Drosophila melanogaster: one gene and its partner. The main gene of each other region encodes a partner of the protein of the gene in region 2 in a complex. Each region holds a gene or a part of one and is shown on either strand. Other genes may lie near its edges. The genes, in order: ksr and cnk. A codon is read from its position in the direction of its gene.

Region 1 (16,301 bases), on a different chromosome or scaffold from region 2:
GCGCTAATTTTCGTGATAGAGAATATTGGAATATTGGAATACGCGTATTGGAGTATTGGAATTGGAGAATGCAGTAATCAACAATAAAAGTCAGTGGACAAGGGAATGCAGAAAGTGTGTCAACTGGCTAAAAACGGCGAATCAGGAAGCGCTCCTTTGGGCAACCGATAAATCCGCCAGCCGAGCAAAATCGGAGCCAATTACGAAACCGCCATTGATTTTGGTTCCCATCAATATGTAAGTTGTGCCCCGGCTTCTGAATTAGTCCCCAAAAAACTTTGAGTCCGCGGAGGAAGCAGTACCCACCAGAAATCTGCGATGTTGACCCTGTATTACGTGAGTGCCACCGTCCTGCAGTCCTGGCGCATTCAAAAGGCGTGCTCCAAGATCGCCGAGCACCTCGCGCAGCCCTCGAGCATCGCCTTCTATACCCTCCAATCGGGCAGCGATGACGGATTCGGTAAGTGGCGGCGTCATTGGAAGGCGTTCACGCTTATATAGACTGCCTGCTTCCTCCACAGATCCCGCCCTGGCCAGCTCGGAGTTGTGCTGCAATCGGAACGCGGCCAAGGTCACGGACATCCTGTGGCTGCACGCCAACCAGCGGGGTTGCTGCCTGCGTCCGCTGCAAACGCTACACATCACGCCTTGGATCAGCTTTCCGCCGGCGCCCAGTCTGCTTCCCTTCTCCTATGCCGCCGACACGTTAACGCCGGCGTCCACGCCCACGGAGGCGGACGTCCCGCGCCAACAACGGGTTTCGCTCTCTGCCCAAGGGGAGGAGCGGATGCAGCTGCTCCTTGAGGCCGACATAGAGCCACTACAGCGGCCCAGCTCCGAGGACACATCAGCAGTACGGGTAAGTTAACCCGACGGCGTGTTGCGTTTTTTTTAATCTCCAAATCCATCAATAAAAAACAGTAAGGCTTAAGCAAATTCAAGTTATAAATGTTTAATTGCCACAATTCGGAGTCCACAAATACATGTTTATACATGTTTATTTGCAACAGAATAGTTCAAAGACTTCAGGATGTAGGAATAGCTTTTTAATGGACTTTTAACTACATAGTTTGGAATTCACCATTAAAGGGGGACTACGAATATTACTCCAAAGTATCTTAAGAATGCTACCGTAATTAAAGTTAGCCCACTTTGTATCATCATAATGAGAACAGATAGGGACAATCGACCTTCGGGTGACGCCGCAATGTGGACGGTGTTGCGTGCGGTAATCTTATTAAGATGTACATGGTTGAATCGATTAGAGCGCTGGCGTCATACATACATACATACGACTACACTAACTAGGGGTATCCTCTCGTGTGTCCTTTCTTCTTCTTGCATGTCGGCGGCCCATGAATCAGCTGGAAGATTACGGTAAGCTAATTGCTTGGAAAATAGATTCCCACCTGGCGGTGCTCATCGAAACAGACGTCGAGCACTTCACGAAACTTTTGATAACGACTTTCTTGAGAAATAATTTATGCATTAACGATCAGCTGCCACTTTTGCGGATTGAGTGTAAGCTGCACCTGAAATCGTTTTAAGAATTTGACTTCATCTTAAAAATCCCACTGATTTATTGTTTCTCCCTCCCAGCGGTGCAACGGGAAGGGGATCCGCAGCCCTTTGAGCTTCTGGCCAAGCATCTGAAGCGGCAATCCCGCATAAGCGTCGGTCTGGACAAGGATGGATGGAAGAAGCACATGGAGGACTTGCGTGCCGTAGGTGTGCTGGCGCACCAGGCCACCGAGTTCGAGTACCAGAGGAATCGCTCTGAGGGAAGAACGAAATCGGATCCCACCACACATGATCAACGCCCGACTTCGGAGCTTTTGGCCAAGGCTGTGGCCGTGGTGGAGCCCACCAACAAGGCATATCTGTCTCCGGCAAGGACGACAGAAGCCTCGCTCAAAGCCGAGGCCAAGGGAACGTCAACAAAACCTTTTCCGACTAAAAGCGATGCCAAACCCGCCACTCTTGCCAAGAGCGAGGGCACGCCAGCCACAAGCAAAGAGGACTCCAAGTTAACGCCAACTAAGGGTGCATTAAAGACAAGCGAACTAGAGAAACTAGCGGCTGTCCAGGCAGCGCAGCAGCAGAAGAAAGAGGCAGTCCAGGTCTCTCCCGTCAAGGCTGCTTTCTTAGCTAAACCACCTATGCTAAGTAAACATGATGAGCCTGATAAGGCATCAGATCAGCCAACGAAGCCCAGGAAATCCTTTGAGGCGGTAAAGCCGTTAAATTCTCCTCCGTCATCCAGAGCTGCTCCCTCGCGTCCTGTGCTGCAACGCAACAAGGATAGCCTGCAGGACGCAAAACCATTGAATGTTTTGGTCTACTCAGACAGCGCCAGTGCGCGGGAATCCACATTGGCCACTCTGCAGCAGCTGCTGGAGCGCAATGTGTACACGATCTATCCTCTGATGCCTCAGCAAGCGGCTCAAAAATACTGGACGGAACAGACTGCGTTGCTGGTCGTCTGCGGATCGGTGGCACACGGAATTGGGCAGATATTGGTGGACTACTTTCTGCAGGGCGGCAAGGTGTTAAGCCTGTGCTCGGATATACTGCACTTTGTACTCCCCAACTATCGCACAGCGGAGGTAGGACTCTGTTTTGTGGAAAATATACCCAAATTCGCCAACATCCATCCCGTGTTCTACAGGTTCGAGAGCACGAATTGGTTCAGTTCTCCTATGACAAGTGGCAGCGGGTCAAGATGATGCACCACATCTTTTGCTACCAACCGTCGCCGGTGAAGAAGCACTTCTCCACTGACAGCGAGGAGTCCACCAAGTCGCACTCTCGCAAACCGTAAGTAGCTATTGCTGCTCCCATCCAGACTGCCAGTGACCAAAACACATTGCTAACCTTGCCGATCTTCTTAATAGTGCCAATAACAAATAGCCCATTAACTGAGTATCAGTGTATTTGAAACCGAAATGTTGCATGTTTTATACACCCGAAAGCCCTATTCAAGTCGATTATTGCACAGCCGTCGGGTAAATTGTAAAAAAGAGGCCAAGTTATAACGCTTTACTTTTTAGACCCTTGCAGAAGGTATATATCTTCCAGTCAGAAGTTTTCAGGGCTTAAAGGGTTAAAAGGCACTTTCTTCATTCTTGATCAGTTTTACCAGCCAAGTCCGTCTGTTCATCCAGTTTTAAGGATTCTAGCCTCTCAGTTTTAAAGCTGTTTGCATGAAAAGACTTCCTCCTGAAATATGTAAGTAAGAAAAGGGAATAATCGGTCCTCTATTTCTTATAGCTTCCATAGGAATAATCGAAAAATAAATGAAATAAAAATGGAATATATAATTCCCGTTTTAATTTGTATTATATTTTTTCTTGACATATACATATGTAATTTCTGCAAGGGTATATGAACTTCGGCCTGCCGAAACCAACCTCCTGTCTTGTTTCATTTATGTATATTATTACTTTTTCTGAATGGGGCTTGAAATGAAATGAATTAATCCTAATTAATCGTTCTTATACTAAACCGATTCTAACCAATTCCAATTCTCATTTTATTTCTCAAATGTTTCATGCTCAAATTGGTCTCGTTTACTCTAAATATGGCTTAATTTCTATTTGATTCGGTGTGCACTGTAATCCATCTATCTAAACTCCGTTTTCAATCCGCCTAACTAACTAACCTATCTATGTTTTCTGTAAGCTCTCTTAACTCTTGTTTTTTATCGATTGAATGTGCCATCCATGTAATTTAATTGTTTAATTGTGTTATAAACATTTGGCATTTCAAACCTTTTCACCATCCTGCTACGTTTACCTTCTAAATCCTTAAATTTCTGCGTGTGCTTCTATATGTGTGTGCTATCACTATTATAATCCATCCTACCAATAACTAAAATAACAACAAACCAAAAACAAACAAAAATCGAAAAAAAAACACAAATCAAACCACGAAACGCTGCTCAGAGCTCTAGTATGTCCAAGGTCCATGGAACTGAAGGATCTGGCCGGTCACAGCCACAATTTGGATGTCCATGTGCTGGGAACCGAGGAAACCTGGAATACGCCCAGCTTGATGTTGGCCAAAAGCCTGCAGAGCGGCGGAAAGGCCGTCTTCTCCCAAGTAAGTGATTGCTCATGTAAATATAACAAACATATATTAAAAAAAAACATTCCTATGAAACAAAAAAAAAAACAGGTGCACTTGGAAATGAATCCCAGCGAATTTGAATCCGATGAGACTAAGTACTCCATTCTAAAGCAAAACGAGCGAACTCGCCTCGAGATATTTGCGGATCTCCTGGGAAAGTACTTGGATGTGCAGGTCCGCGGTGGAGACGGTGTCGACCAGCCGCAGCCTGGAGTTGTCTACAAGCACGCATATTTCCTAGGTCGGCACGAGGTCAGTTCGTCTCTCCATTTGTTTTGGCATCAGAATCCAATATTCTAGCTCTTTTTGTTATTCAGGCCAAGTTTGAGCTTCTGGAGAAGCTACGTCTGCGCTGCAGCGGATCCGACAACGTGATAGCAACGCCGAACCTGACGATGAAGTTCTGTGGCAAGGACGATAAGCCTCCAGTGGCCAACAACAATGTCCTGCCCATACTCATACATTCCTGTCCGGATGACTTCTCCACCGTGGATTACTTCGATGTGAGCGCATTCTAATTCTAGTCTATAGCAGAATTAACCCAAATTCCTCTTATTTTAAAGAATCTTAAGACGGAACACATCGGACGACTGGTCATCTATGCACCGGTGGTCAGCAGCTCCATGCATCTCATAAACAACCTGGAGCTCATCCACGGCCTGGCTGTGCTCCCCGTGCAGCAGACGTCCGGAGTGGGTCGCAGAAATAATCAAGTTAGTACTCTAGAAGCATCCAGATTTAAGTTCTTGTTGAAATCATCGCTTTGTGCTTTCCAGTGGCTTAGTCCGCCGGGCTGTGCCATGTTCTCGCTGCAGCTGCACCTGACCATGGACAGCGCTTTGAGCTCTCGGCTGCCTCTGTTGCAGCACCTTGTTGGAACGGCGATTGTTAATTCGCTCCGCAGTCATGAAGAGTACGGGGTGAGTCAAGACTGTAAAGTTTTACCATTTAGTTGAATCTTAAGTTAAGATTGTTTCGATTATCTCCGCCTGTGGGACGATGGGACGAACCTCAGGATCTGTAAAACTGCCAAGTGCACAAAGTGATTTTTTAGGTTTAATAAGTTTATTTGACATTTTGTTTCGATTTCGCATTTAAAGTCCATTTACTATATACACTTGACCATACATAATTCACAATATATATTTAATTTAACACTAGTCCGTCATATACAATACATTGCTGCTGTATATACATGTATATATATATATATATATATATATATATATATATATATATATATAGTTCTCTTACACATAATTAACAATTTAGAAATTGCTCACCTGATTAACGTTTACATTTATGTTTGCCACAGTGCTTGTTTGTTTGTTTGTATATGTATGTCTATGCCTTCTCTGTTTGCCTCTGCTCTTAAACATTTAAGCGTTTTGTCTTTTTCGAGTTAACATTTGATTTGCCTTTGTTTCGTTTGCTAACAACTGCAACTGGAGTGCTCCCGATACATGCCTACACATATGTATGTAGTTTTTAAAATGGATTGCTATAATTTGGTAGTTACGTTTATGTATTTACAATCTTCGCTCGGCTCGATAGAACTTCGCCTTGGGAGAGAGTTTGTGTAGAGTGGACGAGGGCACAAAGCGAGCTAGCTTAGTTGGTAGATCGAAATTGTACTAGACAGTGACAGTGGCCATGCTGCAGTTCCCTCAGAACACGGACTCGGCGGAACGGGAAAGGTTGACGGGGTGGGAGGGACTGCGCGCCAGACGCTTCTTGGGAAGATGCTCCAGCAGGGAGAGCAGGCGTGCGAACTGCGGCCGGTGCTCCTTCTCGTAGGTCCAGCACAGCATCAGCAAGTCCTTGACATCCCGTCCAGACTGCAGGTTGGCCAGCGACTGCTTCATCCCACGGCCAACCTGCCAGATGATCGATTCCGCCGGCTGATCCTTGAATGTGAACTCGCCGCAGATTAGCTCGTACCAAACGGTTCCGAAAGAGTAGACATCGGAGTATGGGGTGAACTCCAGACACTCTCCACGCGGCTTCTCCGGCTGCAATGCTCGGATTAGCTCCGGCGCCAGGTAGCACAACCAGTTGTGGGGCACTCCTAGGCCCATATCACAGTAGAGCAGCTTGGTGGAGCTGAACAGCCCAAAGTCCGTGATAATCACCTTGCCGTTCTCGATGAAGATGTTCTTGGTGCGCAGATCTTTGTGGATGATCTCCCTTGCGTGCAGGTAGCCCATGCCCTGGGCGATCTGCTGGGCAATGAGGAGAGTCCGGTTCATGGCAAACTTCTCCCGACGCTGGTGAATATACGTATACAAGGTGTTGCCCTTGCACAATGAAGTCACAATGGCCAAATATGGTGGGTTCATGCAGGCTCCCATGAACAGCACCAGGTTCTCGTGTCGAGTGTTCTTGAAGTTGGCTACCTCGCTGCGAAACGTCTCCAGCATGTGTTCGTCTTGCAGATAGTCCTCGTTGAGCAGCTTAACCGCCACATCTCCGTGCCAAAGGGCTCGATGCACGGTGCCGAAGCGTCCCTGCCCTATCCGCTCGAGCAGAAGCAGATCACCATACGGGATGTCCCATTCCTTGAGTGAGATCGAGTTCTGGCGCCATTGTCCCGAGTCTCCGTCTTCCGTTGAATCCACACGAACGGGTGTCCGGTCCGAGTCCGTGCTGGCACTTCCAGACAAGGAGACTGTCTTGTCGCTGTCATTTGACTTGTGGGTATCCGTGTACTCGCTGGTGAACGGCGTCCTCTTATCCACACCGGCTGTGCTCAATTTTCGCGGAAAGAAACTGCAGGTGCTGGTGGTGGTTGTGCTATTGACCAGACTGCCCGTCAAGGTGGCCGCAGTAGAAGCGTTTGAAGTTTGGCTACCGATGAGCGAGCTCATGTGCCCGTTGGAGCTGCTCACCAGACTATCAAGTCCTCCGTTGGCTGTTGCAGGCGCCGTGGGGAATTGCTCTGGCACTGGTTCATTGGAGATGAGCGATACACCACCGCTTCCGCCACTGCTCGTCACCGTCACGTTGGGAAAGTTGAATTGACTCGGCTGGTGCTTGCCAAGCGAAGGCGTAGGTAACAGATTGGCGCTAGAGCTGCTGCCCGCCTGATCCAGCTCGCGCTCCCTTTGCTGGAACAGCGCCGGACTGCTGGGCGTGGAACTAGTGCAGCTGGAACTCGGCGAACTGCTATCGCCGTGCTGCTGATGCAAGGGCTTACCCAGGGTGCTCTTTTTTACCAAAGGGGATCCTTTCGCCGCGCCATGCACATGCGGCAGACTGGCGTATCCTCCCTGCTCCTTTATGTGCCGAAACTCGTCCACATATTCTCGTGGAAGTCCACAGGAGGGCGGTACGTGCGGTGCGCATGACTTGTGGCAGATGTACTTGCAGTCGGTGCACTTCATCCAGCGGTGAAAGACCTGCTTCTGGCACAGGGTACAGGTGGCCATGAAGCCCAGGGCCTTGGTGAAACGATGCTTGATTGCATGACCCATGCCCACGTGACCCACGCCCGGAGAGCATGGCACCATAAGCACGTTCGAGGAACTTCCTCCGGAGCTGGCATTAGTATTTGGGTCCACAAAGATGTCCGAGCTGGTGGAGCTGTGGCTATCGGGGCTGGGATCAGTGGGCAAACGGTTGCGGGCTAATTGCTCCCCGTCCACTTGCACATGACTCTGGCTCAGCAAGGTCTGGTGCTTTCTAGCTGGCGGCGGGGTACCACGACTCCTCTGTGGTGTTCCATTAAGGCTGCTGCTCAGCCCACTGGAAGGCGTGAAGGGCGAATTGGGTGGCGAGGGCGTAAGGGTTAAAGTCAGCTGGGAACCCTGTGTGCTGTTCAGCTCTTCTGTCGCTGAGGGCGATTGGCGGCCACTTTTGAAGTTGGTGGAGTTGGCCAGAGCGGAATTCTTTCCCTTGACACCATGCTGGCGATGATGGGTTCTCGGGGAGGCGGTTGAATTGTTACCCAGTCCAATGTTTCCCACACTGCCGCGATGAATGTGGGTGGGCCTGTCCCAGGAGTCCCAGTGCCACTGCTCTGGATCGTTGTTGCTAGCCGCAGTACCGCTCTCCAGCGACTCCATGCACTTCCTTAAGTTCTGCATGGCCCTGGTCAGGCGTCGCAGTTCCTCCTCCTCTCGCTGGCTGGGGCTGTCAGCCAGGAGTTGACGGATCTCCTCGTCGCTGAGACGCAGGCTTTGCTCTAGAGTGGTCAGGCGAGCAAGGCAGGCGGTAAGAGTCCCCTGGCTAAGGCCCACTACGCGCAGCCATTGCCTCAGTTCGTTGCCCGTTGTGTGGGGCACAAGCCCGTTGGCCGGGATGCGCTCATTTAGCCGCATCTTCGCCAGCAGCAGCTCGGAGAAGTATCGCACCAGCTTCGACTCCAGGCAACGAATCTCCTGCTGCGTCAGCGTGGAGCTGATCGCGCACTGCGTTCGCAGGCCCTCCAGATGGTTGGCCGAGAGATCAATCATGTCCTGAATGATAACCAGGTTGCTGTCTACGGACAGCGAACCGGAGATGGGATCGTTGGCATTGGTGGAGCCCGTGTCTGGAGCCGATGCGGGTGCGTTGTTGTTGCTGCTCATCCTGCTTATTCGCGACGGAGTGGAGCCCGATTGATTTTTTCAGACGCCCCCTCGGGGACTCGACGATTCGATGGGACCAATGGCTGGGACTCCGCCCCGCATTGTGGCCCTCGCCAAGCGACCTTGACGTTCGGTGCTCCGGCTATCGCGCACGCTAACGCCCGCAACTCTAAACGGCTTAGGCAATGCGAAAAAGCAATAATTTGTACAAGTTCCTCGGCTGTTGTTGAAATTTCTCTACACCCAAGTAGCGCATCGAGAGAAGTGTGACCATACCCGGGAGGACTCCTTCTCACTGCACACCAAAATGTACTAAAAGCACTTATCCGAAAAACTTAGGGGCACTCCTCTGTATTTAAAAAAAATAGAACGTTAAGTATTATTATTCTTATGTTGTAATTATATTATGTCTTCGAGTGTATATAGCATATATATTTCAATTCTATTTGAAAAATTAATCCAGAAATTATTTTCACATTTTTATTTTATTAGTCGAAATAAGTCAAATATTTTAATATTTATATTTTATTATTTGGAAATGGAAATTAGGTAGATATTATTTTAATATTTTAATTTTATAACTAAAAATAATTTTTTTAAGTTAATATTTGATGTTCCAATTTATATTTTATGATATGTAATATTACGGAGATAGGCGAGTTTTACTTAATTTATTCATATCACCTTCAGGTGCTGGATATTTCCATTAAGTGGCCGAATGACATTTATGCAAATGGAAATCAGAAAATTGGGGGCCTCGTCATTAATACCACACTTCAGGGATCCCAAGCCATCGTCAATATCGGAAGTGGAATTAATTTGAACAATTCAAGACCAACAGTTTGCATCAATGACTTGATAAGAGAATATAATACCCGTGTCCCGAACAACAAGTTACCTATACTTAAGTACGAGCTACTTATTGCCATGATATTCAATGAAATCGAAAGACTTTTGGGAGAAGTACAAAACGGAGACTTTGATAGTTTTTATGCATTATACTATTCGCTATGGTTACACAGGTAAATTTAAAACATTTTTAAAATACATTTAATTTGCATATTACATTTACTAACATGTTTTTATGTACAGCGGGCAATCTGTTAAGATTTGCCTACAAAAAGATCAGGAAAAAGAGGCCGAAATTGTGGGAATCGATGACTTTGGATTTTTGGAGGTGAAATTACCAACTGGTACTATAGAAATTGTGCAGCCCGATGGAAACAGCTTTGATATGTTGAAGGGATTGATTATACCCAAGTATCAATAGTGAAATGAAGCAGATGTGAAAACTCATATTATTCCCCGAACCCTCTAGTTTAATTGGCCCTTAAGCAACTTGTACTTTTTAGGCAAATTTAGGTCAATTTATAACTACGTAAAAACGTTTATCCTTATAAATATTTACAAGGTGATTCTTCTTAAGTGGCTTTACGAAATAATAATGGATAATTTAATCCACTAAATTAAATACTGCCAAAGAGAATTATATGTTAAAGGAAGTCTCAAAATATTTATAATGACAGGTACATTTGTTTGTTCCCTATAAACCAGTGTTTGGAAATTACTTCGTAAGATAATCGCGTTTGTTACCATTGTTATCGCCATCGATTCCTCTGCATACGGGTGTTTTTGAAATTTGAATTTAATAAATACATATTCGATCATTGCTGACCTTAGACCACTGAGATTAACTGCCGCACAGGTCTTATCTTAAATTTAAGATGGATTTTTTTATTACATAATTTTTTTATTCTAAAATTGTTTATTTTATTATTCTTCTAAAATTTTTTTTTGAACTGAACTTTCATTAGAAAGTTATATTTTTTAAAATTTTTTTGAACTGAACTAAAGAGAGCTTGACAGTGTAGTTTCCTATAAAATTGTCAACACTGGTGATGCGAAGACTTGGTATAATTCCAAGTATGTGAGTTGGTTACACTGTTGCTTTGCTGGAAAAGAAAATTGTGGAATAAAACGGAGTCTGCGGCATTGGGAATTATGTCACAGCGAAATCACAGAGTGGACCGCTTCGCCCAGATGACAAAGCAGGAGGAGATCATAGCCAAGAAACGGCAAGAGATCCTCGAGAAGCAGAAGACGGCACAGCTGGCGAAGGCGGTGGCCGCGGCGCAGAACTTGGCAGCGCAGCTGAAAACCGAGACGACTGTGGGAAAACCCATTGGCAACGAGGTGGAGTATGAGGAGGATGCCCGATACCTGGACACCGCCGTCCAGGACACCTCTCTAGCGGCCGGCGAGGATGGCCTGGAGGCTGTTCACATTGAGGCCACGGCCAGCAAGGGAAAGACGGAGGACGCGGTGGCCCCCAAGACGCTGAATAGCTTCACTGGCAAAACGGGCAAGATCACATTTGGCATGAAGCGTCAGCAGCTGCCTCAGCCCAGTGTTGAGCAGCCACCACCGAAGGTTAAAAACACTTTCTGCAACGATGGTTCCTTTTTAGAGAACTTCAAGAAAATACTCGAAAAGCACGAAAAGCCTCCGCAGCCCTTGATTGTTCCGCCGGTTCCAGTGCCCAGGTGAGTCCACTATCGTAAAAATATTAATGTATATTAATTTGTGGGTAATTATAGCGCCGAGGAGAACAAAGCCGTGGACACGGAAACAGCAGAGCAGAACAACAGTCCCCAGCTAGAGGCGGCCATCGCCATAAGCTCGGCAGCAGCCATGGCTACCTCCATTACGGTGACCAGCTCGGCGCCAACTCATTTGGCTTTTGGACTACCCGTGCAAGCAGTGCAGCCACCACCGCCGCCTCCATTTGCATTCAATCCTACGCTTTTGCAACAGGGACCACCGCAGATGCAGCTGCCAGCTGCATTCTTCCACGGCCATTTGCCTCTGCACTTGCATCCGGCGGCAGTTGCTCCTCCGCCACCTCCACCGCCTCCACAGCTGCCCATCGCTCTGACCAACATGGGACAGATTTACATGCAGCTTGGTCCGTCTCCAGTGGAGGCTATGCAGCTGAATGCCATACCGGCGCCCAAAGAGTTTGACTTAAATGCCATACCTAAGCCACAAATAAATCTGGAGGCTATCCAGATGCCCAGCATCGGTGGTCATTCGACGGAGCAGCTTGGCCTCCTGCCGGACCGCATGTCCATGCCAGTGAATCCACACCCACCGCCTCCGCCGCCACCTGTAGTGGAGGAAATGGAGCAACAGCGCCAGCAGGTGGCACCTCCACATCCACCTCAGCCCACAGCTGCGCCGCCACAAGGTGTGTAACACTTGCAAAACAGTCCTCGTTGCCTGTTTTGATTTGCCATCTCCATTCCCTATCCACATCCAATATATACTCTCATTCTAACCACATCCAACTTCCTACTCATTCAATTTGTATAGAACTTTAATCGTTGAGCACGATTTTAAAGCAATTTATGTAGTTTTTTCAGAAACGTGCATACAATTGCCAACGTGCTTAGAAAACCTAATCGCACTGGTCGCGGAAAATGGTGAAGATTATGAAGATAAAATACGTTTGCATAGAAGCGAGTTGCATCCGGCCTTGTGGTAAATGACCTAAACATGTTTTAACTGGGACTAGTGGTAGTAGATGCACATAAGGGATGGACCGGGGGAGGGGGGGGGGGGGGGTCGTACAGTCCGTCTTAATTGGGGATTTTTCACGTTTACTTAATTGCTTTCGCAAGTTGAATCATTGTATAAGTGCCAGTTCTTTAGGATAGTAACAATTGAATTTTAAAAATTAGTCCGATTTATGTTATAGTTTGGTTGTTTTTAATTGCCATTACTCCGATATTTCACACGACACACACAGACGCACAGATTTCCGTTCCGCTTACTCAATCGTGAATTTAAAATCACAAACAGTGGACATGTACATGTTTTTCTTTGATGCGTTTTAAGTTAGATGTCTGATTAATACTACCAATGCCATGTAACATCTGACAAAACGGACCAACTTGATGGGGGTGTAGGAGGATTAGCCAGACCAGTCGCGTGGACTCATCGAGCGCACAGTGTTCCGTCGTTCCTCGATCGTCATCTAAAGTCTGGAGGAGCCAGCCGGCGGATGACAACTAATAATCTCTGAATAAGCCGCTATTGGGGCGCCTCAAACAGTTATTCATATAATGTCTTTGTACACGTGACTAACGTCGAGCACTTTTCATTGTACTTTTCACTTCTTTTGAATTTTGATAATAGGTTTCTTTATGATAAGAGCTGCGAGCAGTATCGAAGCTATAGCGACCAACTCCTCGACTACAAACAGCAGCGGGCTGAGCGACAACGGGAGCGGGAGCATCAGAAGCTAAGCCGGGACCATCAGCCGCAGGCGACGGAGCAGACGGACGCACAGCAACACCGCGAGGAGCAGCACAGCAACTCGGCGGCTGACAAGTACGACCCAGAGTCGGCCATCAGCGCGGACTTCGACTCGGATGACGAGTACATGCGGGGCATGATGGATCGCAACCGGGACAACATCAAGCGCCGCATTGAGTGTCGCAACGAGCTGAGCGACGAGGAGAGGCGCGAACGGGAGGAGGCTGCATCCGGAGAACCGCCGGATGGCGATGACCAGGACGACCAAGACGACAAGGAGTCGCAGAGGCAGCGTAGGAAGCGCGAGCGCAAGAGCCGATGGGGCGAGAAAGAGCAACAGTTGCCATCCTCAAGTATGTTTATATACTCTTAACCCTAAATAGTATATATATTCGTGATCACAGCCCGAGTCGATCTGTCAATTCCCGTCTGTCCGTTTATCTGCTTGTCTGTCCGTCCGTATGAACGCTGTGATCTCGCAGATTTTAAAAACCAGAAAGATGTAGACGACTGCCACTACCACTGAAATAATATGTATAATTATGACGCTACTGACAACAATCCTTATTATCTACAGGCACTTCGGGAAACTTTGGTAACCAAAATAAACCCATACTAAGTGGCATCACGCGAACAGATCCCGCGTTGTTGCAGTATGCTCGGCTCAACTATGGATCGACTCAGCTGAGCGAGGAGCAGTGGAAGCAGTGCGAGGAGCACTACAAAGTAAACCTGCTGTATCAGGACATGATGCGCAAGCGTCAGGAAATCGATCGACTGGCCCGTGGCGGTAAATTCAAGTACGAATACGACTCGGACGAGGACATTGAGGGCGGGACGTGGGAGCACAAGTTGCGAACAGCCGAAATGGAGGCCACATCCCTATGGGCAAACGCCCTGACCAAGCAAAGCGAAGGCAAGCATCACATCGGCGACTTTCTGCCCCCCGAGGAGCTCAAGAAGTTCATGGAGCAGTACGAGGCGAAGAAGAACAACAGGCAGCCGGATCTAAGCGACTACAAGGAGTACAAACTAAAGGAGGACAACATTGGCTTCCAAATGCTGCAAAAACTCGGCTGGAAAGAGGGGCAGGGCTTAGGACAGGACGGAGCTGGAATTGTGGACCCCGTTAACAAGTAGGTTACCTATCCTATGTTTGAAAGTATCTCACTGTATAATATGGCAACAGGGCACCGCAACGCGATGGAAACCAAGGACTTGGTGTCAGCAGCGCTGCCCAGCCAGAGGACTGCGACAATGAATATGACGCCTACAGGAAGCGAATGATGTTGGCCTATCGTTTTCGTCCAAATCCTTTGGTAAGTAATCCCTGGAAACTGGCAAGGGAAGAGAACATAACTAATATGATAGCTATAAATGCTTAATATATATGACTTCTTATTTGTTTGCAGAACAATCCACGTCGCGCCTACTACTAGCACTACCTAAAATGACCCCTACCCACATAACTACCAATATCCTAGGTCCACTTATTCAACTGCAACTTTGCTGAATAAAATGTCCTCGTTTAAATTAAACAGCGGACACGTCAGTTTATTTTAGGGGGTCGTTTATTCAGTAAGTAGTTCGTAATTAACTTAAATCTATTGCAAGCGTTTAGGAGTTCGATCGTACAAAGGAGTACGTAAGTAAGAAGTGTGGAGGTCTCTTAGAACGAGAGTCTGGGCTCTGGAATTCCATTTTGATTCGGCGGCACATTGCACAACTCCCAATCAAGGGACTGATTCGATTCTACCGGGAACTGGGAACTGGACCACCTAAACGCTAATAATACTAAGTTGTACTCGAACTGGAAGCGAGGGCTAGTCTAGGAGTAGAGCGTCAGCACGGGCGTCTGGTTGCCGCGCGCCAATGCCACCGGACACTTCATGTCCGACGTGAGCATCTCCAGCCATGACATGTACAGCGGTGCCGAGATGGCCTCCTGGAAATACAAAAATACGCATGTGTTAGTGGTCAATCACGATGTTAGTGCTCATTTCCGAATGTCTCACCTTGCGCGGCATGGGCAGGGACATGACCACCAGGGAAGCGTTTGATGAGTGCTTGACCACCAGCTCATGGATGCGCAGCTGGCGATTCGTCTTCTCCGACATGCTCTGCAGCTCATCGTCCGTGATGCCGAACTCGTTGCGGGCTCCGCGGCGGAAGGGCTCGATCAGCCGCTTGTGCTTCAGCACCGTGTCCGCCCGCGGCTGCTCGGAGACGCCCTTCAGCATAATGAGCTCAGAGTACTTGATGCGGAACTTGGTCAACAAGCTAGCCATGCTGTAGGGTAGAATTTACCATTTGTACTATCATATTTGTGACAATATTTTCAAAATAATAGTATAGTATAGTGAGAGTAATAATCATCTTTTGATTTCCGTCCTGGCTTCTTCTTCGGTCTCACGGAACTATATGGGATGGTGGAAGGCATATCCTCTCCTTTTTATTGATCGGAACTCTTTTCGCTCAAATGGAACCCAAACCCTTTGACCTTCGACCTTTGTATACTTTGGATTCGGAAACGCATTCTTGTGCCTGTTACGTGTTGTTCTAAAGACTTACCTCTTCTCTTCCTGCTCCTCGTCTTTTCCGTGGCACATTGCGAACACCCTTAGCTTGGAGTTCTGCCAGTGGGAGCGCATGGAGATTATGTAGGGCAGGAGAATTGTGAGACCTACATGTATTCCCAATGACTTGTGGATTAGTTGCAAAGTGGCTGATTACGACCAAGTACCCACCTCCGTCGTCGTACAGCCAGAAGACATCGATTGTGCCCTTGGGCTGTTTGCGCGTGAATATGGTCATGGCGTCCAGCAAGTTTTGGGGTATGTCCGATCCGCCCTTGGTGTGGTAGGTGACGGCGGGCTCATCCGAGCTGGTCACCTTGTAGCTGCGGGAGTTGCGCTGCATGTTGGGCATCGGTGCTGGCTGGGGCATTGTGAAAGAGGAGTTGGGGCTGTCCATGCTGGCTAGGTTCAGGTTGGAGTCAATGTGCAGCAGCTCCGAGGCTGCATTGGCCGCCGGCATCAGTTCGTTGGTGAATCCATGCGCATTGGCGGTATGCATGTGACCCATTCCGTTGGCCGGCAGAGTGACCTCGGAACTCAGCTCAGAGAAATCCAATCCGTTGGGCAGTCGGAGCAGGGCCACGCCCATACGCTGAGAAAAAGCATTGCTATGGAAGAGGTGGACTTGGTAAGGCATCCAATAACATAGTTTGGGGAAATAACTTACTACAAAATGGAAAAGTAACTCTCCACCTCCTCCTTGCGACAGCGA
Region 2 (16,126 bases):
CCAAGATAATGTTGTCCTCGGGTACATCGTGATCCAGCAGCACCCGAATGGCCATCATGGCCGCTGCTCCTGTGGCCACGGTGGCATCCATTAGTATCACCTTGTAGTCTTTTATGTCTTTAGGCAGCCTCAGGTAGTAAAGCTCCGGCTCGCCGGTCTTAAGATTGGTCTGGATGAGGATCTTTCCGATGCGAATGTCCTTGCACACATCACAAACGGCTTGTTCCATTGTTTCACCAGCTCGGAGAATTGAGACGCCGCATATTTTTCGCGATTCCATACGCTTGCCCTCGTAAAGGACACCTTGTGGAGTCTCCACTGTTGTTTTCTTAAAGGGAAATAAGCTTAGCGCATATTCAATGACTAGCCGTATCAGGCGCTTTGAGTAAAAAATAAACTCATCGCGGGACGTATTTCGGCAACGGATGAACGTGTGCAGGCCCTTTATTTGGGGCGTGGGATGCAGCAAGTGCAGAGAATGTGGCATTGGCTGGTCCTTGTAGGAGTTGGCCAGAGTTTCGCGCAGCTTAAATCCGCGCTGGAAGACAGACAGACAAATTAACAAGGTGAACAGCACCGCAAGCAGGCAATTCATACCAGTTGCAGCTGTGTGTGCACGTGCTGAACAATGAGATGGATGGCCACCTTGTTGTCGCCTCCACGAGGAACAATGATATCTGCATGGGCCATTGTTGGAGCTATGTAATTGCAATAGGAGGGCTTAACCATATTAAGGTATTGCTTCAGCACGCCCTTGAGGTCTCGTCCGCGCTGAGAGATGTCCCTAAAATTGAACAATTGATAACAAAATATGATAATCAAGGTAGGCAGAGCCGAGAACCATCACATACCTTCTTAACCGCCTGGCCAGACGAATATCGGGATCTGTGTCCACAAATATCTTCATGTCTAGCAATTTAAGTACTTCAGGACTATGAAAGGTAAGAATACCCTCGAAGATGATCACATTGGCCCCGTACATGGTTTTCGTTTGGCTCTCACGACCATGTGTCACAAAATTATAGACAGGAACTTCCACCTTTCGGCCCTCCTTCAGCTTGGTGAGCACGTCCAGCAGCAGCTCGATGTCGAAGGCATCCGGGTGATCGAAGTTATATTCGTTGATCAGGGCCTGCTCATGCTGTTTCTCATTAAGGATCTACAGGATTAACATAATGAATTCAGTCAATGTATTTCGTCAACTAAATTATAATTCTCCAACCTTGTAGAAACAGTCCATGGACAACAGTGTTACCCATGGAACGTCTAGGCTTTCGATGATTTTCTCAGCCACTGTGGTCTTGCCAGAGGCACTACCGCCGCAGATTCCTGAAGGAAATTAAGCACATTAGAGAGACTAGAAAGATTTGTTTTTTGGGAGTGATGTGTTTACCTATGACGAAGGGCTCCACCTGTTGCCCAGCACAATTGTACCACGGCGGTCGTCCGGCCGTGTAGATCGTGCGGTTATTTGCGCGTATGATGCATTCGGACGGATTCGCTGTGGTGGTCTGGTTGCCAATGGATGTGGTTCGCTGTCTCCTACCGGAACGTTTAAGAGGCGAATCCAACGATGCTTTAGCAGGCACTGTGGTGGGCGAGGCCGGACAGCAGTTGAGATCCCCGGGCAAGCCATTGCTTAGGTCGGCATACGGATCCACATAGAGTTGCTCTGTGACATCCGAGAGTGAACGGTCATCGCTGCAAATAGTACGTATATAGATTAGTTGGCGATTATCAAGTTCTACACTCCCACCATTTAACGATGACGTTAGCCACAAGTAAAATAATTGGAATTCAGTGATTAGCCATGAGATAACATTTTTATCACCTAGCACTGATTAATTTCATAATAATTTTAAATATTTTGATATGTACGAAAGAGTAGATTACAGAACGTGTTAGTGAAATTTCTACCATGCCGTACCAGCTATTGCAATGCAAGCTTAAAGCTATAAGTTCAAGGATGCAGTATACTCACTGACCTACTCTACTTTAACAGCCCCCATCTGCACACGTATTGACACCCACACAAACGCGAGAAACCAGGCATATCGTCGACGTAAAATTAATCTACTGCTCAATATGTTCTATAAATAGACAAGTTACTTGAGGCCTTAATTGAATGTGATAGAAGATAACATCGTTACGTATTATCAGGTTAATTCTTATATGGCTTTCAATGAGAACAGCTAATACGTTACATTTACAGCTCCCTTTATAAATCACGTTGGTATAGCAAAAGTATTGCAGGAATATGCAGTAATATGATATGGGAATATTTGTGATTTGGCATGAAATACGATATGATCATGATGGGTTGATATCTAATACTAGTAAGTAATATCTAGAAAGAAGTTGGCCGTTAAAACAATAATAATAGACAATAACTAGGGCCAAGTACATGCAAAAACACTCATCATACAATTCTGGGAAGATTTCAAAAATAAGAAAACAGGGGCCGGCAGACAAAGCAACGCTAGACGTATCCATTTATCGAATGCTGCGTAGGCGCGTTCGTTGCACTCATTCTTTCCGCCTTTCTCTGTATCTTCTGCTCTTCATTTGCGTACCAAAATGAAATTCACCACACGGAAAGAAAAAACTGAGGATATATTTTTTTAGAATTCTGCAGAAGGTCAAAAAATGTTGTCAAAATTTTAGAACAATATTTATCATAACATAAAAACGATAAATATTAAAATAAGTTTGGGGTACTTGTGATAAAATGTAAATTTAGAAGAATCAAAAATGTTTCATTTTTCTCTCAGTGTGGGGCCAACAATCTGGTGACGCCACAGACGAGATTCCTCCGCATATTTTTAGTTTTTGCACACCAACAAAAGAAGCGAGAGATGAGCGCTTGCCACGTGTGCCGTGCTCTTCCCAAAAAAGGAACCAACAGGTTATGGCCTTCCAGGCGGGTGGGACAAGGACGGCAAGCGGGAGTTTCCTGGCGAGGGAGATGCAGGACATTGGGAGCCAAAGGGAGGCTAAGGGAACTGGAAATGGCAAACGTGGCTCATGTGTGTTGTTGTGATCGCTGCCATGTTGAAGAATCGAGAGAGCACTTGCTGACGCTATCATCGTTTCACCATTTGTTGTTACTTGCCGCGCGGCAGACTCAATAAACAATGTTAAACACAGCAAGCGTTAATTAAACACTGAGAATAGAAAGAGACGTCGCGAAACGGGAGACTGGACAAACAAGCGCAGCACCAAAACAATTAGAATGGCGGTAAATAACACACACAACAGAAACAACAAAAAGCACTCAAATACAAACACACACACACAAATATGCCTCTCTACAAATGAATGTACAAACATACATATATGAACGTCTGGTATGTAAAATGGGACTTCGATTGGTTTTTACGTTAAGAAATGGGGAAAATGCAATGAATTACATGTGACCATTGGTTTTGGCTGCTATAGCCTTAACCTTTGACTGCTGATGATGCTGTTGTTGTTGTTGCTGCTGCTGTTGATGTGGTTGCTGAAGTAGCTGTTGCTGCTGGTGGTTTGCGATGGTTAGTAAACCGGCGGATGCGGCTGCAAATGCTGAGTTCGCTTTTGCCCCTTTTGGAACATCGTTATTGCTACTATTAATGCTGTTGTTGTTGGTGTTGTGGCCCGACTTGCTGCACAAAAACGTGATGCTGCTCATTTTTAGCCCGATCCCGATCTGCCAGCGATTTTGAATCACTCAGTCCGTCGGCGTGGGCGTGAGAACTTGGATGTGGAGGCAGCAAGAACACAGCAACCGGCGATGCCAAGCCAAAATGGGTCACTCACTCACACAACGCTCACGCGAATCGCCGCCGGCGTGGATCACATGTGATTTAGAGTTTTTATTTCGTACGCAGCGATTCACCTTTTGCGTTGCGGCCAATATTTATTCGATAACTAATGAAAACAAAAAATTAAGCCAAAGGTGTAGCGAGAAGTGCGAGGTGAGCGGCGTTTGGGGATTGAATGACAAGAAAAAGTGTTAAGGCAGCTAAGGTTAAAAAGCTGCGCTGCGCTGCGGTTTCCTCTGCCGGCGTCGTCTCTGCATTGTTGTTGTCGCAAGCCTTCATAGAGGTGGGCATGTGGTACATGAGGTTTGGCGTGACACGACTCAGTCGAAGATGTGCTCTACATTTTAGCCAAATTTGCATAACAAATGTCTCTTTTACTTTTGTTAAGTGAAGGATATTTAATTTGTTAGAGAAAAAAATATTCTAATTTTTAGGCGCATAAAATCATAAAATATTTCACGCTACATATACTTATACACAAGTAATTTTTTATAGCATTCCACGGATCGCACCAAAGTTATTTTAATAATGTTTCTGTGGTATGAATATTATTTTTTCAAACTGCAACATTACAAGTTACTCGCTGACGCGCCCATCCCTAGCTTGTAACTGTTCTCGCAGGGTGTTCGCTTTGCCTTCTCTCTCACACTCTCTTCCGATCCGATGCAACCGGCGACTATATCGAAATTGAATTTATCACATGTTATGCGTTTGCACATGTAGTGGTGTTTGCGAACGCAGGCCCTATGCCATTTTCCCAGCATTTATTTATATTGCGTGATTAGAGGCCCCACGACGCACACATGTAAGTAGGTACGTACGTACATACGATGAATGACTTGGAGCACATGCTCTTTAGATATGTTTGTGCGCGGGTGTGTGTGTGAGTGTGTATCACATTCTAATGACTTCTGTTGGATTTTCACACTTTACTTTTGGCCGTGCGTGAATTAATGCGGCATTAAAAAGTCGTTCGTTACCTGTCGGAGCTAGCGGAACTCGATGGGTTGTAGAACTTGATTTGTTTCGTCTGGGTCACAGACATTTCGACAAGAGAATAGTGATTGCAGCAGCCAGTTGCAGCGATTAGAAAAAAACACGCGGTGATTTACTTCGTCGTGCCTCTCCCTCTCCGAGCAAGTGACTGATTCGTTTCTGAAGGCATTGCGTTGGAAAAACGTGCGCCGCCTTCGTATACATACATATGTATACATCTACCCGAGCTTGAATGGTCAAGTAAAGTGCTAATTGTCAGCTGGGGAAAGGCACTGGAGCGGAGGGACGCTCATTGCCTTGTTTATCTCCATTTGATGCTGTCATTGAGGCATTTATTTATATGTTTTGGGGCAATTCAATTCCATTCGCAAGGCGCTCAGCTGTTTGATTGGGGCGGCGACAGTGTTGCGAAGCGCTGTTGGCTGTTGGGTTGCAGTAAATTCGAATGTGAATGGCTAAATCCGAAGCGGGGTTTTTAAATGTTTGATAATTATTACTTCGAGCTTGTGTCAATATAAGTGAATATTTTACATAAAACTTTGTGGTTTCTAAAAGATTAGCTTACAACATGATCTTTAGGTACTAACAAATAAAAGGTTGTAAATAGCGGTAGTGCTCGGAAAATATATCAACATGAGACAATTACCAATTCGATTATTTTTTGTTGGTCCTCTATCGATAACTGTTACTCTTACTCTCTTGCACTGCAAGCCAAATTCATATTAATTAAGACTATAAAAATAAACACATACAGAAACATGTGGCTGTTTCCTGGCTATCTTGGATGGAGAAAGTAGTATGTAGTAGTATCATAATTTATAGTTTTCTTTCCTCTTGTTCTGTCCCTTAAAGAAACTTTGAATAAATTGCATTTTGTTCAGTTTTAAAATGCATTAAATAATCGATTGCCACGCTAGTTCGATAGTATTTAACGAGCACCGAGTATTGTTCGAGCTCTAAAAGATGGTCACTCCGGACCAGAGAGACGCAACAATATAGCAATTCTGAACTTGGTTCGAGTGTTTTTGCAGCACGAATTGATAATATGCCGTAGGTGCGGCCCAGCGCGGATCATCAGCAGCAGCAGCGATGGCCTACATCAACATCGCCGAGTGGACGCCCGACCAGGTCACCGACTGGATAAAAGGTAATGCTCGAGGTCAAGGAAAGCGCAGCTGAGAAAAAAAAAACTGCATCTCGCAGCCACTGCCCCAAAAAGCAGCAGCAACAACAAGTGCAACAAGAATTTCCGCTTTGTTCAAGGTTTCAACAGGCACATCATAATAATTATGTTTTCCTGATTCTCGCAGGTCTGGATGAGTCTATGAAGGGGTATTTGTACGAGTTCTCCAAGCAGGAGATCGGCGGACGGGCGTTGCTCAACATACGGCCATACGAGCTGGAGAATCTGGGCATGCTGCGCATTGGCCATCAGGAGATCGTGCTGGAGGCGGTGGAGAACTTAAGAAACTTCGTGAGACCCCAAACAAATATTGTGACATACAAACCCGTTAATTGAGCTTGATATTCCAGCATTATCACCTGAAAAACGACAATCTGCAGTTCATGGCCTTGCATGTGGCCACGGCAGCTAAGAATCTGCATCGCGAACTGGCCAGGAATCATGCGGAGAGCACTAAGATCGATACCCGGATACTGCACGATATTACCAGGACGATAGCTACTCTAAAGCCATTGGTGGGCAGCCTGGAGCGAACACCGTTCCGTAAGCAGGAGATGTACCGCGAGTATTGTGGCAATGTGCTCAAATGCGGCCTGGAGCTGGCCACAATTGCCCACCGTGATCGTTTTGCCCTGCAGCCGGTGCCAGCGATTCGACAGTCAGCGGAACGGCTCGAGAATCTTGCCAACTTTGTAATCCAGGACATATCTGATCCCATGGTACTGCAGCCAGCCTCTCTGAACCTTGTCACCCTTAAAAAACGCGAATCCGAGTTGGGTTTCAACATAGAGTCCAGTTATAATGGCATTCACCGTGTCACGGATATCAAGTACAACTCGCCAGCTCACAATTCCGGAAAAATCGAAGATGGCGACGAGATTGTGCAGATCAACTACCAGACCGTTGTGGGCTGGCAGCATCGCACAGTACTGGAGCATCTGAGGGAAGCACTTCCAGATGTGGTGCTGACGGTGAAGAAACGGCCGAAGCACACAAAGATGTTTGGACAGATCTATATGCAGCCGTACAGGTTGCCCAGCAAGAAGAGGAATATGGCCGCCCGCTGGGCGGCACAGATGCCAAGTCCCCGTGCTGCATTTTTAACCCTGGACACGGAGCAACTGGCAACAGGAGGAACAGGAAGCGCGGTGCCAGATCCCAGTAAATCCCTAAGCAGTGAGAAGAGGGAGGTACTTACCAAGGCCAATCCAGTGTCCTCTGCCTCCGACTCTGATTCCAGTTGCAGTGATATTCCAACACCAACGGATCCCAAGCTAGCCGCACGGGAGATCCGTTTGTATTACCCAAAGCCAAGAGCTTTGCTCCAACGAAGAAACACTATTTGTGGATGCGAGTATCTTAGCCTGAAAAACTCGGATCTAGTCGTTCCATCGTGGCACGAAAGAAAGCCAGGAATTGGTTCGCCCACCAATTGCGACCCTGGCTCGCCCAGTATACGGGATAAGTCGATATCCTTCGGTTATGGCCTAGAGATGGCAGCAAGGCCGACCACTTGCATTGGGATTGCGGGCGATACCTCCACGGACAAGGCCAGGCGAATGTTTCATGAGGCGCGAAAACTAAAGCAGCTGACGGAGGACTCGCAGCGCGAATTCCTCGTGGATCGTTACAAGCCGGGTGTCAGCAAAGTAGTTCGGTTCGACGCCAAGGAAGATTATGTGATGAAGAATGAAAAATTTATCTGTAACGTTGAGAACACCATACTGGAGACCTTTGAACCGATTCCCTTTGCGGATGAGGGAGACGAGGACGCCTTGGAAACGCTGCGCAACTGCAAAACAGAAAACGCAGAGGAGCTCCTAGAGGCAATTAATCTGGCTACAAAAGGTCAGGACTTGCCCCTGGCCGAGGCCATTAACATGCCTTTGTTGCAGCAAGGTCGAAGGGGCCGATTAGACAAGAGTCATAGTACTCCGGCATACGATAATTCGGGTGAAGAATCGGATACGCCGCCAGCGATTGAGCCAAGAAAGGAGTTCCTGCTTGTCACACCGCCAGCACCGCCACCGCGACCCCGCAAGCAAAGGGAAATGACGCCACCGGCGGTGCCTCCACCTCCACCAAAACCAGCCAGCATGCAGCCGGCTAGTAGTATCACCAGTATCTCCATTCCCGTGCCAGTACCTGTACCAGCCGCAGTTGATCCATCGGAGATCAGTGAGCTTCATACGCCCAGCAAATCCCGGACACTGACCCTTAAAAAGAAGCACAGCTTAATGGCCAAGCGGCGGAACACAAATCTCAAGCTGTTGGGGACTGGGGATATCCAAGGTCATCTGTACAGGCGCAAGAAAAATCATCGCGGAGTGACTTACTGGGCGAGAATCTATTTCGTGATGCTGGATACGATACTGTACGGATTTCGCAGTAAGCAGAGTACCAGCGCCAGCTTGGTAATATTTTTACCGGGCTTTACGGTTTCATTGGCAAAAGAAGTGCACTCCAAACCGCATGCCTTTAAAGTTTACCACACGGCCAAGAGCTTCTACTTTGCGGCCGAGTCGCTGGACGCACTTAACCAATGGGTGGACTTCTTGCGCCAGGCTTCGCTCAAAGTGCCGCCTAGTACGGGTTCAAAAGGCGGTGGTGACGCAAAGGATTTGTATTCGGAGAACGATAGCTCAGGCGAGGAATGCGATGCCCTTGTGATCCAGAATTTAAGCACGCCCTCGCCGCAAGGCAACAAGGAGTCAATGTCCATGTCGATGACACTATCTGGCGGAACACCACCTTCCTCTGCACCCATTAAGCATGAACGCGGCTACTTGGACTCGTTTCGCAAATTTACGAATACATTCAAGAGCAGTGCAGCGAAACCGTCGAGCGACATCCCTGTGCCAACGGAGCAATACCGCAGCTATAGGAAGGTGCCAGGCGGAAGTTTTGGCATTCAGATTGGTGCCAATACACCGGGCTACCATGATCCCGCAATGCCGCCGACACAGATTCCACCTTTGGTGGGTCCTAAACTGTCGCGTAGCTCAAGTAGGAGTTCGGTGGTCAGTGGAACCGAGTCTGCCGTATCATTATCTGCTTCGATTCTGGGTCCGCCCGCGTCGCCAGCGCCAACGCCCACGCCTACAGCCACTCCCACATCGCTGCAGCATCAGAGCTCCGAGGAGAGTCCAAGTCAGAGCCAGAGCCAGAGTCCCAGTAGCAAGTCGAGTTTGAAGAAGGCACCATTCAACTTCTTGCACGCCTCAAATCCGAATTTGGTGGAATTCGATTTCCATACCTCGAAAACACTACTCCCCAAGATGAGTGTGGGTAATACACTCGACCATGGCCATAATATACAGGGCTTTGTGACGCTTAAGGATCTGATGCTGCGCAAACAGGAGGAGGAGGCCCAGGAAATGTACAACAATCGAGTGCACTTGGGTGTGGAGAAGCACAAGCACGCACGGACGGAATCCACGGCCAGTCAGCAGAGCGCCATGAGCAGCAGCGTGACAAAGCCGCTGGAAAAGTTGCCCAAGATCCAGAGCGTGAGTCTGCCCAAAACACCCGACTACGAGATCAGTTTTAAGCCTGACGACGAGAGTATTAAGAGAACCAGAACTAAGGAAGGTCAGAAGTTGCGCGACTTTGGTTACGAGCTGATATGTGGGGATGAGCCGAGCACTAGCTCCATCAGCCGGCAAGAGCACCACCATCATCATCATCATCACCAGCACCACCTGCAGCATGTGCAACAGCAGCAGCAGCTACAACATCAGCAGACGCAGCAGCAACATAGCAGCAAGGCCAAGCACTTCTTGCGCTCACAGCAGTTACAGCTCTCCAGTTTCCTGCACAAGAACAGCAGCGGCGGCAGCGGCAAGAGTTCCGGATCCGGTGCGGATCAAAAGAAGTCCAAAGGAAAGTCTAGCGGCGATCGTCGGTTTCCCTTTTCCAAGCACTCAACTGGCTCCGCGGGCAGTGGCTGTGGGCCGGGTCATGCGATGACTATGACGCTGCCGCTGAACAAGAAGTCCAAATCGAATCACGCCTTGGATGGAGCCGTAGGCAATGGAGTCACCATAATCGGCAGCGGCAGCAGCATCAAGAAAAGCCAGACGTACAATCAGGATCTGCGAGACAAGATAGTGGGCACCAAGTACGATGCGCATCGCAAGAACTCGGCCCCGATACCAATCTTTTCGAAACTCTCCATATCGGGTGGCACGCCGGCGAAGCCCTCCAAGGAGAATCGTTTCCTGGGCTCACCGCTGCTGCATCGCACGCTGTTCGGGCACCATCACCATCAGCAGCAGGCAGTAACGCCACCAAGCAGTGCGGATCCCGATTGCGATCAGGAGATCTTCTCCCAAATCACCCTGCCCACGCACAATCAGGCGGGATATCGAAGTTACCGTGGACCTGGCATACTAACCACCTCGACCACTAATTTGTGCTCGTCGGAGGGCTTGCAGCCGCCGTTGCCCCCAGCGCCACCGCCTCCCGTCAACACCAGCAGGCAGAGAGAGGAGGAGCAAGCGGAGGCAACGATATCAGAGTGTGCGGCCACCCCAAAAGTGTCCAGTTCGGGATCTGTGGATTCGAAGGCGGCAACGCCGGACTATCCAAATATGGAGTGTCCGCCTGTCTTTGAGCCGGAAATCTACTCGCTCAGCGATACCAGCTTGTCCCGCATCGTGATGCGGACGCCCAGCAGCAGTGGTGCCACCAGTGCCACCGCCAGCACCACCACCACCAACAACAACAACAACAATAATAACACCAATAACAACACCAACACCAACAGCAGTCCCAGTGGCGGCGAACACCATCAGACCTAGATGTGTGATGAAAACTATTGTGAATGCTCGCGGGGATTAGCCCCCGTTTACTTATGTATTTATACACACGCATATAGATATATATATATATATTATATATAGCGATATTCTCGTACGATTTAGGTATACAACTTGTTCATTTTGATCGTCTTCCCTGTCTGTCCACCAGAAACAAACACACGCATACCTGCAATCCCTTCGATTCGAAACCCACTTAGATGTAAATGTTTAATCTGCCTTATTTGCATTGTATTTCGGTTCTAGGCAAAATGTTTTACACATGTAGTCACGCAAGCAAAACAATGAATTATAGCGAAAATGGAGAATAACTTTAGAAGTCTGTGCATCGAACAAAGACGGTTCTTTATGATTTGCCTTTGTACGCGATTAACCAAGTTAATCCGAGCTGTTTGATTTGCTCAACAGTTTGTGTCTAGATTGCGTGTAATATACATATATTATTATGCGAAATGAGATATTATTGTAATGGCATCCAGCGACGCCAATGGAGCCAGAAATGTTGTAGCGGAATGCAAGAAATATATATATACACAATTACACGAAATATACATGCATACGAATAAAGTCAACTGTACATAATAGAATAACGATCTTTTTATTTTGGGATTTTTCAAGAAACAGGTTGTTTCATTAGAGGAGGATTGAAAATCTTTTTATGCACGCAACTTATTCAAAGACCTAAGAAATGAGAATCTCTGGACAGAAGTGCTGAACCCTGCTTCTTTTTACTAATGTAACCAAATCAACTTGATCAAAACGAGTATTACCTTCTATTATTAGTTCGATTTAGAATCCCTTTCTTTATTCACATTACATTTGAAATTAGATCAATTTAAAACCACTGCCGCTTACGCAATGTTCTTAATGTGCTGCTCCACCTCCTCCTTGGTGAACATGTAGAACTCTCTTTCTTTCGTCATGGTCATCACCTCCACATTGGTGGAGTTTAGTTTCTCCTCCATAACCTGTTTAAGTGTGTTGAGCGAAATGTCGATAGCCTCATCGAGAGTCAAATCGGGTCTAAATAAGTCCTGCAGATTCTGCTGAGCACCTTCGCTGCCCGAGCCAATGGCCTTGGCTCCGTGGCGCACGAATGTGCCGGAGGGATCCATGTGCCACAACTGGGGTTGTCCCGCCTCGATGCCGGCAAATAGAATGGCCACACCAAAGGGACGACTCATGGCGGCGGCACCATCGCTGTCGCCACTATCACCGAACTGGATGGCCAAAGTGGACACAGCCTGGGCGCAGGACTCGATGGACATGCGCTCGTTGTAGACGAACCAGTGGTTCTGGCACTCCACGCGTGCCCTCTCGATCAGAGTCCTGGCATCGGCCATCAAGCCGGAGGTGGCGCAACCAATGTGCTTGTCCACCTCCACAATCTTCTCCACAGTACTGGGTACCATTAGCGGCGAAGTGATGCGCTTCTCCACCGCCAAAACCACTCCTGGAATGCAATTTTACCATTAGATCTCCGCGTGTACTTATGGCAGCAAAGAACATACCTTCTGGCGTGCAAATTCCAATTGCTGTGGAGCCCAATTTGATGGCCTCAATGGCATATTCCACTTGGAAGAGGCGGCCCTCCGGCGAGAAGGTGTTCACGCCTCTGTCGTACTCGGAACGCGTGAGAAACATGGTGGGCTGTAATTTAGTTAAGTGTTATGCACGCTGGTTGACAAATAACACTTCGAAAAGGGCTTACTTTTCTATAATTTCCTTAACAAAATCGCAAACAAATGCCGGATGACTTGACGCTGAAATGACTTGCGGATAAAGTGCCGTCTCTGATTATATCGATAACTAGTGCTGCCACATTATTCGATTGATAATATTACTGTACTAAACATGGGTTGGCAGCTCTGCATCAAAATTGGTTGATCTGGCAAGTTTGTCGCTGTTAATTTTTACACATATTTAAATAAAAAATTAAATTGATATTTTAAGTTTTCATTTACAATTACGATCACAAAGAATATTTTGAAGAAGTAAAAGATTTTTAAGGTATTTTCAATATAGTTTTTAGAAATCTTAATCTTATAGGTTTTTGACTGAATTAACTGAAAATAGCTCTGCTGCAATGCCAATCAAGTTTCTTGCATTTCCCGCTTTAATGCCCAAATTGACATGATTGCCATTAAGCCTTTAAATGGTTATATAAGTCAAACAACCAGTTAAGTGTTGGACTACTTCAAGGACCCGGTTTAATTACCAATTTCCAGATACGTTTATTACTTGATACTGGCTACTATCATCTAAATATCTATTTTTAATTTCCGATATATTTTCATTAGCTTCACATACGAATCAGTGTAATGTGGACTAAAGGAAGCAGTTGCATAACAATCGAATTAAGAGATTTACTTTCACATTGGCGGCTCGTCGGTTTGCCCGACTGTCCAATTATGGCAATTTCAAATCTAATCACACCCCACACGCACAGTCTCCAATGGTCAGAAAATCCCCGCGTTACAAGAGAAGCCATGATTGAATGGAAATGGAATAACGATTGGGTCAAGGTTGCCATCTTGTTTTACCCTTCTTTCAAAGATAAAGCGAACGTGCGCCACAAGATGCGAAGATTTCTGAAGATTTGGGAGTGGCGCGAAGAGAAGAGCAGGGGAGAAGTATTGCCACCATTTAACCAAAAAAAAAAAAAATACAACTGAAGGTCGTTGACCAATTGCAGTGCGCGGGACAGGGAGAGCATCCGGCGTGTGCGAGCGAGAGAGACAGACACTGCAAACCCGTTAATCAGACCGAAAGAGCCGTTAATCGCCCCGAAGAATTGCAATAGCAAAATGGTGCAAAAGTTGTTAGGTTGACGATGAGGAGGGGGCGGGAGAGGTATAAAGTGGCGGACAAACTGGACAATGGGCAATTAGCAGGCAAAAAAAAGCGGGGCCTAAATTTGATTATGAAATAGAATGGGCATGTAAATGCTATGGCCTGTCTTCCGCGTCTGTCGTTTTTTCTTTTATTTTTTTTTGTTTTCGATTTCGGGCTTTAGCCAGGCTGGATTGGCGAAAAATAAAAGAAAATGAGAGTTACCTGGCTTTTGTTTTAAGTCGTTGTGTTTAGTCGAATTGTTGCTATTGCCACACGATGGATTTTAAAATAGCCAACTGCGGAGCTAAGTATGTTTTCAATTTAATGACTGCAAGTGATTGCACAAAATTCCAGGCAACCAGGCAGCCAGTCAGACATACATCACATAATGCGCACTTGCGAATACGTCGCACATGCATCCACGGGATCCGATGGTATATCCAGCAGATACATACATATGCATCTATGTATCTATACATATAAACAGTCACGCCGTGGGCTCCCACAGGCGGCACAAGTGGGCAGCAATCACGATCGGCCAGGGAGCCACCAAATTGCCAGTTGTGGCAGCCATGTGTCAGGGGTTTCGTTGCGGACCACCAATGCATCCCCTTGCCCATGCAACTAGAAAATCCATTGACCCAATGCTGCTCCAATGATGCCAAAAAGTGAACCACACTATGCACTGGAAAAGATGCGGAATAGGACTCCTAAGCTAAGAAAATATAGGAAAACATGAGATAAACTCAAAACTTCGAACACATCTAGAAGATTCATAGTTTGAAGAAGATGCCAGTTTTTACGGTGTATATCTTTTGTGGGCCCACTCACCAAGCTGAGATGCTGTGGATGACCCCATAAAGCTCTATAAGACGATATGAAATACAGATATGTGAAATATATCGAATATCCGAACGCATTGTGCTACATTTAACCTTCTTATTGTCTCCGCCACTTACCACATTGGGCTTATGTTTTGGCTATTGGATTTCGGTGAGTTGGGTTTGCAACAAAGTTGAAGTCAATAGCCGCAGGCATTTGCATAATCCCAGCCACTCGAATCTATATATCATATGTCCAGGTGTGGGACCAACAAGAAAACGGAAGCCTCGGCCACCAATTGGCTATGGTTTTTGGCCAACAAATCAAAGCCACCGCCGATTTTTGATGTGGGTCTGTGTACCACTGATTTCCACTTCCTAGCTATTGTCTGGTAGGATAACGACCCGGTTACCTTGTTGTAATATCTCGAGTGCAGGAGTCGTGCCTCCAGTGGCGTACATTCATTCCCTCCCTACCACCCCGCTGGTGGAAAATGAAACCGAAACTTGTTTTCATATAACACCGTTCCCCCGACTGACTTTTCATTACTAAGCCAAAATCCCCAACAACAACATCAACAGCGGGCAGCAAAAGAGTTGCGAATGCGCCGCACCGTCGACTTGCGTTGCGAGATATAGAAAGACAAGACAGTCCAATTTTTCGGTGTATATAAGCTGAGTGCAGCGGCTCAGCGATTCAGTCCCAGCTTGGATCTCGTTACCCGTGCAGCACAGCGAATTGTGGAGTAATTGTTCCCCCGTGAGACGTCGAATCAGCAGCTCAACAATGCGAATGGTAATGGATTGTGGATAGTTTGCGGAAGTGCAGAATCCCAGCGAGGATCTAGTGATTCCCAGTGATCAGAGTGTGAACCGTGCCTATATCTTGTACATCCATTGCAGTTCGTACTTCCTTGTCTCGCCGTGTGCGTGGCATTGGCCCATTGTGGCGGAGCCGTTGAGGATAAGAAGGCCGAGGGCGATGGCAAGACGGTGGAGAAGAGAGGACTCCATCTGGGCGACTACCACCACTACCAGCCCCACCACGAGCACATCAAGACGGTGACCATCGAGAAGAAGATTCCCGTCCCATACACGGTCACCAAGCACGTGCCCTACACCGTCGAGAAAAAGGTGAGTCCTTAACCATCAAAGTCAGGCATTGATGATGTAGTTTTGAATCCAAATATTCTTAGCCCCGTGCCCTATAACATTTATCTTGAAACTCTGTGAAAGGAGATCACTATATGAGTCCATGTAACATAACTTTCATAATCTTTGAAATAGATCCCCTACGAGGTGAAAGTGGATGTGCCTCAGCCTTACATTGTTGAGAAGAAGGTGCCTGTCCATGTCAAGGAGTACGTGAAAGTACCCGTCCATGTGCCCAAACCCTATGAGGTGATCAAGAAGATCCCCTATGAGGTTAAGGTGCCAGTCGACAAGCCGTATGAGGTTAAGGTGCCCGTGCCCCAGCCCTACGAAGTGATCAAGAAGATTCCCTATGAGGTCAAGGTACCAGTGCCCCAGCCCTACGAAGTGATCAAGAAGGTGCCCCATGAGGTTAAGGTTGAGGTCCCGGTTCCCAAGCCATACGAGGTGATCAAGAAGGTGCCCTATGAAGTCAAATACGAGGTGGAGAAGCCATACGATGTGGAAGTGCCCAAG

Evidence for each region.
Region 1: the proteins of cnk (region 2) and ksr are in contact, whole or in part, in a cryo-EM structure (PDB 8BW9), measured with the Drosophila melanogaster proteins. Residues at the interface, in NP_001286524.1 of Drosophila melanogaster: Lys79 (codon at 6,345), Asn80 (codon at 6,348), Asn82 (codon at 6,354), Gln84 (codon at 6,360), Leu88 (codon at 6,372), Glu183 (codon at 6,657), Asn187 (codon at 6,669), Ile190 (codon at 6,678), Gln191 (codon at 6,681), Ile193 (codon at 6,687), Ser194 (codon at 6,690), Asp195 (codon at 6,693), Pro196 (codon at 6,696), Val198 (codon at 6,702), Leu199 (codon at 6,705), Gln200 (codon at 6,708), Pro201 (codon at 6,711), His288 (codon at 6,972), Thr289 (codon at 6,975), Met291 (codon at 6,981); in NP_001287177.1 of Drosophila melanogaster: Arg900, Gly901, Met902, Lys903, Gln904, Ser905, Leu906, Ala907, Gln910, Ser911, Gly912, Arg913, Lys916, Asp917, Met920, Tyr925, Lys945.

Annotation. Positions count from the first base shown.
Region 1 is NT_033777.3:5,474,942-5,491,242, forward strand, and holds ksr (kinase suppressor of ras), read right to left. Parts: upstream 8,966-16,301; 5' UTR 8,697-8,965; coding exon 5,796-8,696; 3' UTR 5,049-5,795; coding exon of another isoform or gene 4,905-5,048; 3' UTR 4,842-4,904; coding exon of another isoform or gene 4,692-4,841; 3' UTR 4,632-4,691; coding exon of another isoform or gene 4,446-4,631; 3' UTR 4,381-4,445; coding exon of another isoform or gene 4,177-4,380; 3' UTR 4,102-4,176; coding exon of another isoform or gene 3,945-4,101; 3' UTR 3,449-3,944; downstream 1-3,448. Other genes in the region: Hcs (holocarboxylase synthetase), read left to right, coding at 319-460, 522-859, 1,365-1,521, 1,600-2,606, 2,669-2,817, 3,945-4,101, 4,177-4,380, 4,446-4,631 and 4 more; CG31550 (uncharacterized protein), read left to right, coding at 10,698-11,239, 11,294-11,943, 12,110-12,236, 12,894-13,366, 13,591-14,149, 14,203-14,332, 14,426-14,452; NKCC (sodium potassium chloride cotransporter), read right to left, coding at 14,842-14,958, 15,029-15,302, 15,585-15,696, 15,761-16,197, 16,257-16,301.
Region 2 is NT_033778.4:17,409,231-17,425,356, reverse strand, and holds cnk (connector enhancer of ksr), read left to right. Parts: upstream 1-5,349; 5' UTR 5,350-5,888; coding exon 5,889-5,946; intron 5,947-6,109; coding exon 6,110-6,273; intron 6,274-6,332; coding exon 6,333-10,784; 3' UTR 10,785-11,387; downstream 11,388-16,126. Other genes in the region: l(2)k01209 (lethal (2) k01209), read right to left, coding at 1-538, 598-784, 852-1,159, 1,223-1,329, 1,394-1,701, 3,411-3,670; Prosalpha5 (proteasome alpha5 subunit), read right to left, coding at 11,654-12,255, 12,314-12,446; Vajk4, read left to right, coding at 15,246-15,254, 15,362-15,592, 15,746-16,126.